Linked DNA regions of Sus scrofa. The protein of the gene in region 1 interacts with the protein of each later gene in a pairwise test. Links are inferred from orthologs where the notes say so. Each region holds a gene or a part of one and is shown on either strand. Other genes may lie near its edges.

The links. The genes of interacting proteins can lie anywhere in the genome.
Region 2: the proteins of NELFB (region 1) and NELFE interact in binary tests that used the Homo sapiens proteins (3 or more experiments, as listed by UniProt). The link is inferred for Sus scrofa from reciprocal best matches to the Homo sapiens genes NELFB and NELFE.

Annotation. Positions count from the first base shown.
Region 1 is NW_018084833.1:653,343-657,727, reverse strand, and holds the start of NELFB (negative elongation factor B), read left to right. Parts: upstream 1-1,483; 5' UTR 1,484-1,558; coding exon 1,559-1,813; intron 1,814-2,163; coding exon 2,164-2,327; intron 2,328-2,487; coding exon 2,488-2,587; intron 2,588-2,917; coding exon 2,918-3,148; intron 3,149-4,385. UniProt on the Homo sapiens protein: Essential component of the NELF complex, a complex that negatively regulates the elongation of transcription by RNA polymerase II.
Region 2 is NC_010449.5:24,044,010-24,048,581, reverse strand, and holds the start of NELFE (negative elongation factor E), read left to right. Parts: upstream 1-1,649; 5' UTR 1,650-1,757; intron 1,758-2,196; 5' UTR 2,197-2,204; coding exon 2,205-2,279; intron 2,280-3,981; coding exon 3,982-4,051; intron 4,052-4,152; coding exon 4,153-4,298; intron 4,299-4,572. UniProt on the Homo sapiens protein: Essential component of the NELF complex, a complex that negatively regulates the elongation of transcription by RNA polymerase II.

The sequences.
Region 1 (4,385 bases):
AGCCGTGGGACTGCAGACCGTTGGCACTGGGCCCTGGGCTGACCAGCTCGGCCAGGGGGCAACCGAGACAGGGCTGTAGGAGCTCCGACCTTGGGAGTTTGGTCCAGGTTGGGGGGACCAGGAGCTCTGCTCACAGCGGTACCACCAGCAACCACTAGGGCTCTAAGCCAGGAGTGGGACCAGCAGAAAGGATGAAAAAATCTCCAGTTGTGCTGAGGAGGGAGGGCTTCCTGGAGGAGGCAGGGGAGGAATGGGCTTTCAAAGATGAGCTCAAGTTTGCCAGGCAGCAGGAAGGGAACTTCTGGCCGAGCAAACTTTGGAAGCCAAGGCACACGAGAAGGGAGAGGGTGTGGGGTTTGGTGTGGCCAAGCTTGGGAGAACCTGGGGCCGGGGGGTGGAAGGTGAACCGGAGGGGTGGAGAAGCTGCAGAGGCTGTGCGCTGGCTCCAGGGGCTTGCACCCTTGGCAACCGGGAGCCCGAGGAGAGTGCAGAGCAGGTGGTGCCCACTGTCCCTGTAGGAGCTTCTTGTACCGCAAGGGACAAGGAACGGCCTGGAACCAAGAGAGAGTCAGCCTGGACTTTAGCTTGAGGGCCTACCACCTTGGGTTAGCCAGGGGGGTACGTGTTCAAGGTGACCAGAGGACAGCCATCCTTTGTCATGCTGTCACTGCAAGGCCACCCCCTCCCCAATTTGAGGCACACTTAGATTTCGATCTCAGCTGTGAACTTGGTCAGGCTGGACAAGGAGGGAACCAAGTTCCAGAAAGAGAGAGGGCCACAGGGGCAGGGAGTTTCTAGGGTGGCAGGGCTCCATTTTCTCAAGCAAAAATATTCTCAACATCAAAAGAATGCCATGAGGTCAGCAACACGATTTTTCAAGGTTAAAATAAAATGCAGGAGTTCCCGTCATGGCGCAGCGGTTAACGAATCCGACTAGGAACCATGAGGTGGCGGGTTCGATCCCTGGCGTCGCTCAGTGGGCTAAGGATCTGGCATTGCCATGAACCATGGTGTAGGTCGCAGACGCGGCTCGGATCTGGCGTTGCTGTGGCTCTGGCGTAGGTTGGAGGCTACAGCTCCCATTCGACCCCCAGCCTGGGAATCTCCACATGCCGCGCGGGTCCTGGAAAAAACAGAAAAAAAAAAATCAAAAAAATCAAATAAAACGCACTTGGCTAAAATGTTCCTTCTGAAACCCACGAAGCAGGCCGACCCTGCAGGCGACGCCCCTCCCGCAGGCGTCCCCGAGCACCCCGCCCGCGGTTCTTCGGGGCCCAGGGGCCGCACCTGCCTGAGGCCGCAGGCGCCGCGTCGCTGGGCGGGGCCGCGCAGGGGGCGAGGCCACGCGGGGCGGGGCGGGGCTTCGTCCGGGGCCTGCGCGACGTCCGGGCGTCGGCTTCGCGCTGGGTCTTTGCCAGGCGCCGGCCGCGGCTCTGCTTCCCGGAACCTCTGCGCGGCGGCGGCGGCGTTTCCGGGGAGCCGGTTGGCGGGCGGACCTGGCTGTGCGGGGCGGAAGTGGGCAGCTGCGGTCCAAGCGGAGCCGCGCTGCGGGCGGGACCTGGCCGAGCTGGAGGGCGCCGGGGAGAGGAGCTCGGGCGGCCCCCGAGGCCCTGGCGAGCGGGCAGCTGCTGGGCCTGCGGCTACCGGATCGGCGCCCGGGGAGCGCGGAGGGGATGGGGCGCCGAGCCGGGTGGGGGCGGGGGCCTCGGCCATGTTCGCGGGGCTGCAGGACCTGGGCGTGGCCAACGGCGAGGACCTGAAGGAGACGCTGACCAACTGCACGGAGCCGCTTAAGGCCATCGAGCAGTTCCAGGTGGAGCCGGGTGGAGGGGCCGGGTGGAGAGGCCGGTGGCTTGGGTGTGTGAGTCCGGCGGGGGGGCGGGGTCCGTGGGAAGTGGGCGGGCTTCTCTCCCTGCAGGTAGCTGCGTCTCTTCCCCGGGAGGGAGGAACCGGGTGTCCTGAACTAGGACGACGTCGACTGCGATCTGAGCGGTTTCCAGCTTTTGCAGTTACAGCCCAGCCAGCGCAGCTGGGAACGTCCTTGCAGCTGCCTCCCTGTGTACTCAGCATAGGGGTGCCTGGCCAGATGTGGCTGTGGCTGAGGTTTCTCTTGCCGCCCGGGGTAAGCAAAATCGACCTCACCTTGGCCCTCCGCTTCCTTAGACAGAGAATGGCGTGCTGCTGCCCTCCCTGCAGTCGGCCTTGCCCTTCTTGGACCTGCATGGGACACCCCGGCTGGAGTTCCACCAGTCGGTGTTTGATGAGCTTCGGGACAAGCTGCTGGAGCGGGTGTCAGCCATCGCCTCCGAGGGGAAGGCTGAGGAGAGGTAGGTGGGCAGGTGCGATGTGCGGCCCCCTCCCAGCACTCACGGTCCGCATGTCCCCCGGGGTCCCGCCTGCGCACACCACCTGTCTAGGGTCAGGCAGGTAGGTAGTTGCTTCCGACTTCTTCTGTGCTGCCTCCCTCAGTCGTGCCCGTTTTTCCAGGTACAAGAAGCTGGAAGAGCTTCTGGAGAAGAGCTTTTCTCTGGTGAAGATGCCGTCTCTGCAGCCGGTGGTGATGTGCGTCATGAAACACTTGCCCAAGGTAAACCTGCGAGGCCAGCTGGGCCAGGCGTTGGCTGGCTCCTGGGAGGTTTCCCGAGCTGCCTGCTGGCGGCCGCACAGCTCCGGGCCTGTTTCCGTGCTGGCCTCTCCCTGAGCCACGCCGCCTGAAGCTGGGCACGTGCTTTGGGGCACGGAGCTCTTTCTGGGTAAAAACTGACTACACCTGCCAGGGCCTGGGGGACCAGTCCCAGGTGCCCCCCCGTGGGTTGGACTGGGCTGGATGTGATCTCTGTGGGGGGGGCTCTTGATTTGTCTTGAGAGACCCCTGGGGCCCAGGGGTTGCTCACAGGTGGCCCGTGGGGTCGTGTAGGTGCCTGAGAAGAAGCTGAAGCTGGTGATGGCTGACAAGGAGTTGTACCGGGCCTGTGCCGTGGAGGTGAAGCGGCAGATCTGGCAGGACAACCAGGCGCTCTTCGGCGACGAGGTCTCCCCGCTGCTGAAACAGTACATCGTGGAGAAGGAGAACGCGCTCTTCAGCCCCGAGCTCTCCGTCCTGCACAACTTTTTCAGTCCTTCCCCCAAGACGAGGCGCCAGGGTGAGGTGAGGCGGGGCAGGGCTGTGCGGGGCGGGCACGTCCAGGGCCACCCTGGCCAGTCCCGTTCCCACTCCCGTGAGCGCTGGCTTGTCCGCTCCAGGGCAGTGGGCCTGGCGCGGCTGGATCGCAGCGCTGTGCTTGGCGTGGGTCTTCTGGGTCTTTGACCTGCCTCCACTCGGCAGCTCGGCAGGCCTTTGCGTTAAGCTCTCGTGTCTTCTTTCAGCCGTGGGGATTTTCCTCTTTTTATGTTGGTTATTCCTTGTCTCAACACATGCTTCTGGGTGGCGACTGGCTGCCTCGGAGGTCAGGGCACTGCCTGGGTCCTCAAGCTCTGGCGCGGGGCGGTTCCATGCAGCAGACGTTGCTGTCAGTCGTCCGGAGCTCCAGGGCTGGCTCCAGGGCTGGCTGACGGCTGTGGAGGCGTGCGGCCGTGGGGCGAGGCGGGCTGGGACGGCCAGGGTGGCCTCTGGAGGTGAGGAGGAGCTGGCTCCGGGCGTGAGCAGAGCCGAGGAGGGAGCAAAGGCCAGGGTGTCTGGGGTGACAGGCGGCCCTGTGTGCTCCCTGGAGCACGCTGGGGAGGCAGGGTGAGGTTGGGGGCGTTGGAGGCCTTTCCTGGTGAGGTGGGGTCCAGGGGCTGGCCAAGCGTCAGGGTGACCCCTCACCCCAAGAGGCCAAATGTTGGCCGAGCAGCGTTGGCTGCTGCCTTCGCGGGCGGCCTCCCCACCTGGGTGTGTGTGTGCGGTGAGGCAGCTGTCGCCTAACCTCTCCTGGACGTCGGGCCAGTGCTCACAGCACCGCTTCCTGGCCAGGCCGCTGAGCGTGCCTCTGAGCGCTGCCCTCGTTCCCTGGCATTTGTCCTGGGGGACGCGTGGTCCTGCTCCTCCTTCACTCTCCCCTCCAGCCAGGGGCCCCTGGGGGCTGGGGCCTTCCTGCCGCCCCTAAGTGCAAGGGCAGAGCGAGCGGCCGCTGACAGGTTACCCAGGGCCCTCGGGTGGGTCGGCTGCAGGGGCCACAGTTCTGTGCCCCGCCTGCCCGCGGCCCGAGCGTCGCCCCCTCCTGGTGGCGGTGGGCAGGCCTGGCTGCGCAAGGCCGTGCACGTTCCTGTTCCACGTTAGAGGTGCTGGGGCTGGGTGCCGAGACTTTGGGTCGTGCTCTGGGTCTGCTCGGCTTGCCCGGGTCCCTGAGGCCAGCTGCAGGGGCCTGGCCGGGGCCCTGAGGTAGGGGGCTGTCCCCGCGGGTGTC
Region 2 (4,572 bases), on another chromosome or scaffold:
CCATCCCATTTCCACAAGCATCACCTGGCCAAAAAGGGTACTGTGTTGGATTCCCCCACAGGGACTGGGAGGCGGGCCCTGGTGGCCGGCGAAGAGATAAGGAGGTTGTGGCCGACAGGTTTGTATTCTCTAGCAGGACCTGAGGCAAGAGATCAGAGCGCCAGTGAGGCTGAGTTGGCCTCTGACAACCCCCCGCTCCGGCCGCCACCCCCCCACCCCACCCCCCCCACTTCCCAACTCTGCTTCTTGTGGCCCCTGACCTCTTACCTCCTTGTAGCCTAGTATCTGGCCTGTGGTTGGGTGTCTTTGGGCCTGCAGGTCGGAGGGGACTGGGGCCCCCAGTGCGGCCAGGAGAGACCAGGGATCCATCTTCCTCTGCCATTTTCTGGACAGAAAGAAATTTTCAGCTCTTTCTCCTCTGTCTCAACTTCCTTCAGGAACCCATTTCCCCTAGTCCAGGCCCCTCTAGACTCCTCACCGGGCTGAGTGCTCCACACCATGCAGAGGCAGCCAGGCTGGAGAGGACAGAAACAACTGTTCTGCTTCTTGCTGCAGATCTGGGGCACAGGGTGGGAGGCCGTGGGGAAGCTGGAACAGGGCAAGACGAGAGGCATGAGGCAAGGAAAGAGAGTAAGACACAGACAAAAGAGATGGTGACGGGCTTCATGTTTAGATCAGAAATGGTAGGTGTCCCATACAGGCTAGGACAATTAGGCTGAAGCAATAGTTTCCAAAGGTTGTCCTACTTTATAGGAAAAACTGACCTGCAACTGAATTATCTGGAGAGCTGTTTAATAATATAGATTTTGGATTAAAGAATTTCTGGAGATGGACCTAAGAATTTCTAATTTAGGAAAGCTCCCCCTCTAATCATGAGGCACACAGATTCTGATAATCACTAGTTTTAGGAAAAGGAGCCCCAGACCTAAGGATGAAAAACCGAAGGTGCTCAAGGGCTGACCTATCAGCCACCAACAAGTGCCCTGGTGCTTGGAGACAGAAGAAGATGCCAGGGAGAAAAGACCCACTGGAAAGAGCAGTTCTCAGAGCTAAAGTTATCCCCAGGGCTCCCTGCTCTGTCTTCTCATGGGCTCTGACGCACTGCAGGTCGACTGGGTTGGGATCCATCCCGCACCAGTCCAAAGCTGGGATGACAGGTGTCCAGAGACAGGTGAGCCAGGTCAGGTTAGACCCTACTGTGAGAAGGCTGAAAGGGGTTTTAAGCCCTATTAATAAGGGTCAAGGTTAGGTTAGAGCTAAAAGTCACTCACGGTGCTCTCTGGAGCCCCAGGCACATTCAGCAGCTCCCAGCGCCCGGTACATCCTAGCTCCAAGGCGCGGAGGGGCAGATCCAGGGGATCTGGGGTAGGCAGCACTATGGGAGGAAAATCACAGGTCAGGGGTCAAGGGTCATTCCCTGTCTCCTCCTCCTTCCCACCTTCTGCCCCCTCACCGAGTCGCTCCGTCTCCATCATCCTGGAGCCACGGTAGCTGCCGGGCAGCCCGGAAGTGTAGGGAGGAGCCGAAACCCGCGGAACTAGCGGCGACTTCCGGAACACACCCCGCTGGGGGCGGGGACGAGCACTACCGAGGGGCGGAACCCAAGCTGGTGGGAGGCCGGACGGAAGTGTGCGCGCCGCGAGCCGCCTTGGTTACCGCGGTCTCCGCCCCTCGCTACGTCATCGCTCCGAGCCAGCGATCCGCTGCCCGCGCGGGCGCCGCCCGAGACCGTGGGGCTCCGGTTGCCGCCCCCTCAGGTAAGGCCTTCTCCGTCTCACCCTTCGCCCCTTTTTTCCGAGCTCCTTCTCTCTTCTTGCCCTGTTCGTTGCTCTGAGAGCGCTGCGCGGGTTCCACTGCCTCCTCTGCTTTTCGGACCCTGCGAATGCCATACTAACCCCAGCGAGGTAGGGGGGGTCTGGTGCCATCGTCTTCGCGACGGAGGGGGTGTTTCTCCCTTCCTGGGCTACGTGGTGCCCCAAGGCGCTGGTATCCGTGATTCCCGGAGAGAGAAGGGAATGCTGGTTGATCCCGACGAGCGGGGGCTTGGACGGCAGCTGGTTTAAGCAAGGGGTAGGGAGAGGCAAAAGACAGGAGTAGGCAGGCCTGGAGGGGTGGGATTGGGTGCAGTGTGGACGGCGTGTGACCCCTGGGCGGTGACAGTGGAGAAAGATGTCTTGGGCCCTGCCCCTGAACCAGGAGCCACCATGTTGGTGATACCCCCCGGACTGAGCGAGGAGGAGGAGGCTCTGCAGAAGAAATTCAACAAACTCAAGAAAAAGGTGAGGGAGTGTGTGTGGGCATGGCCCAAACTTTCAAAGACTCTACACTGAGAACACCTGGGGTGAGTGTGAGGGGATGGGGGGGTGGGGGTTCTTCTAGCTCATACCTAGAGACATGGCACCTCTCAGTGTCCCTTCATGGGTGGACTTTCTCAAGGTGGATACTTGCTTTTCTCTCTTTTCTGTATAGTCTGCCATGGAGGTGTCTTCCTTTCCTCCGGCTTTTAGTACCACCTAAGAACTGGTGATCCCAGGCTTGGTTTTTTTTAGTTCCATCTGTATCTTGCCAATAACCTTCATATATTGCCGCTCTGGTCTTACCTATTCTAATCTTGGTCTTCCAAATAGGACTGACTCCATTCACTTCTCCCGCTGTTTGGAATCCAGATCTCGTCTCTGTCTTATTTGCGTAGCCAAATGTTTGCCGAGTCGTCTTGATTCCTCCTTTGAAGTAACTTCTTCTGTTTACTCCTTCCTGTGTATTCTCGCAGTCAGGCCTTTGCTGATGCTCACCTAGACTGTTGTAATCGTCTCTCAGCAAGTTTCTTTTTTCGACAGACTTTTTTACTTCTATTAAAATGGTGCTTTGAAAACAGAAAACACTGTCCTTCTTTTTCTCAAAAGCCAGTGGTTTCACATTGTCTATAAAAGAGCCTTAATTTGGCAGCCCTTCCTCGTCAAATAGAACTATTCCTGGGAGTTCCCGTCGTGGCGCAGTGGTTAACGAATCCAACTAGGAACCATGAGGTTTCGGGTTCGGTCCCTGCCCTTGCTCAGTGGGTTAACGATCCGGCGTTGCCGTGAGCTGTGGTGTAGGTTGCAGACGCGGCTCGGATCCTGCGTTGCTGTGGCTCAGGCGTAGGCCGGTGGCTACAGCTCCGACTCAACCCCTAGCCTGGGAACCTCCATATGCCGAGGGAGCGGCCCAAGAAATAGCAACAACAACAACAACAACAACAAAAAGACAAAAAAAAAAAAAAAAAAAAAGAACTATTCCTTAATCCCAAAACACACACACATACACACACACACACACACACACACACACACACACACACCCAGAGTCTTATCTCTGCATCTTTGCCGCCTTGTTTTCTTTGTCTAAAATGCCTTTTCTTTTCTGTATGTTATTGTAGATTCTATCCAGGGCTCAGTTTAATGTGGGCATCAGGAAGGTCTTACTTGCTCTCAGCTATAGTCTACACTTCTTTAATCAGTCTTGACAATTTAGTCTGGTCATCTTATTTCTCAAACTCTAAGCTTCTTGAGGGGAGGATTTCCGTCTCATACTTCTGCATAGACCTGTTACAGAAATTCCTAGTGATGCTCTTTCTGATTAAACGTTTAGGGGGCGGACAGGTGAAGCCCCCAAGAAGGCATGGAGACTTACACTTAATTGCAGCTTGTATCTGCAGACTCTGGTCTATGATTAAACCCCTTGTCTTCGACTTGAGAAACGTGAGACTCTGGAAAGCCTCTGGATACTGTGGTTTGAATAGATTAGGTGTTGTTAGCATTGTAGATGCTCTGGGGGACCATATGTGAGAGGCAGGGCTGCCTCAGTGTGCCACTCTAGGGGCACCATTTGCATTATTTTCTCTGAGAAAGTTGTCCCCTGGAGTGATGTGCCCAGGGGCCTTGGGAGAGGACCTGGGCAGGGACTGGCCCTCACTGACCCCTCTCTTCTCACTCTCATTCCCAGAAAAAGGCATTGCTGGCTCTGAAGAAGCAAAGCAGCAGCAGCACTGCCAGCCAAGGTGGTGTCAAACGCTGTGAGTGACAGGGGAAGTGGGGATAGACCGGAAGTGAGGAGCCCAGGCCGACCTCTGTCACAGCCTGGCCAACACAAAGCCTCTTTCCCCCGCCACTCCAGCTCTGTCAGAGCAGCCCGTGGTGGACACGGCCACAGCAACTGAGCAAGCAAAGCAGCTGGTGAAGTCAGGAGCCATCAGTGCCATCAAGGCCGAGACCAAGAACTCGGGCTTCAAACGTTCTCGAACTCTAGAGGGGAAGTTAAAGGTGAGCACAGGGAGAAAGATGGTTCAGGGCATCCGTGACTTCAGAGGGATCCTGCCAAGTTGGAACAGAGGTAGGTTTAGGGGGAAAGTAATGCTGGTTCAGTCCTGGGCAATTGCTCTGCCATTCTGAGCTTCAGGTTTCTTACCTCGAAAATGAAGGAGCTAGATGACTCCTAGATTCTTCTTTATTTTACACTTTCTTTGGCTCTAATCCACCTCATACTCTGAGAAGTTGAATCGAGATAGAAATGTCATCAGATCCAAGACTTTTTTTT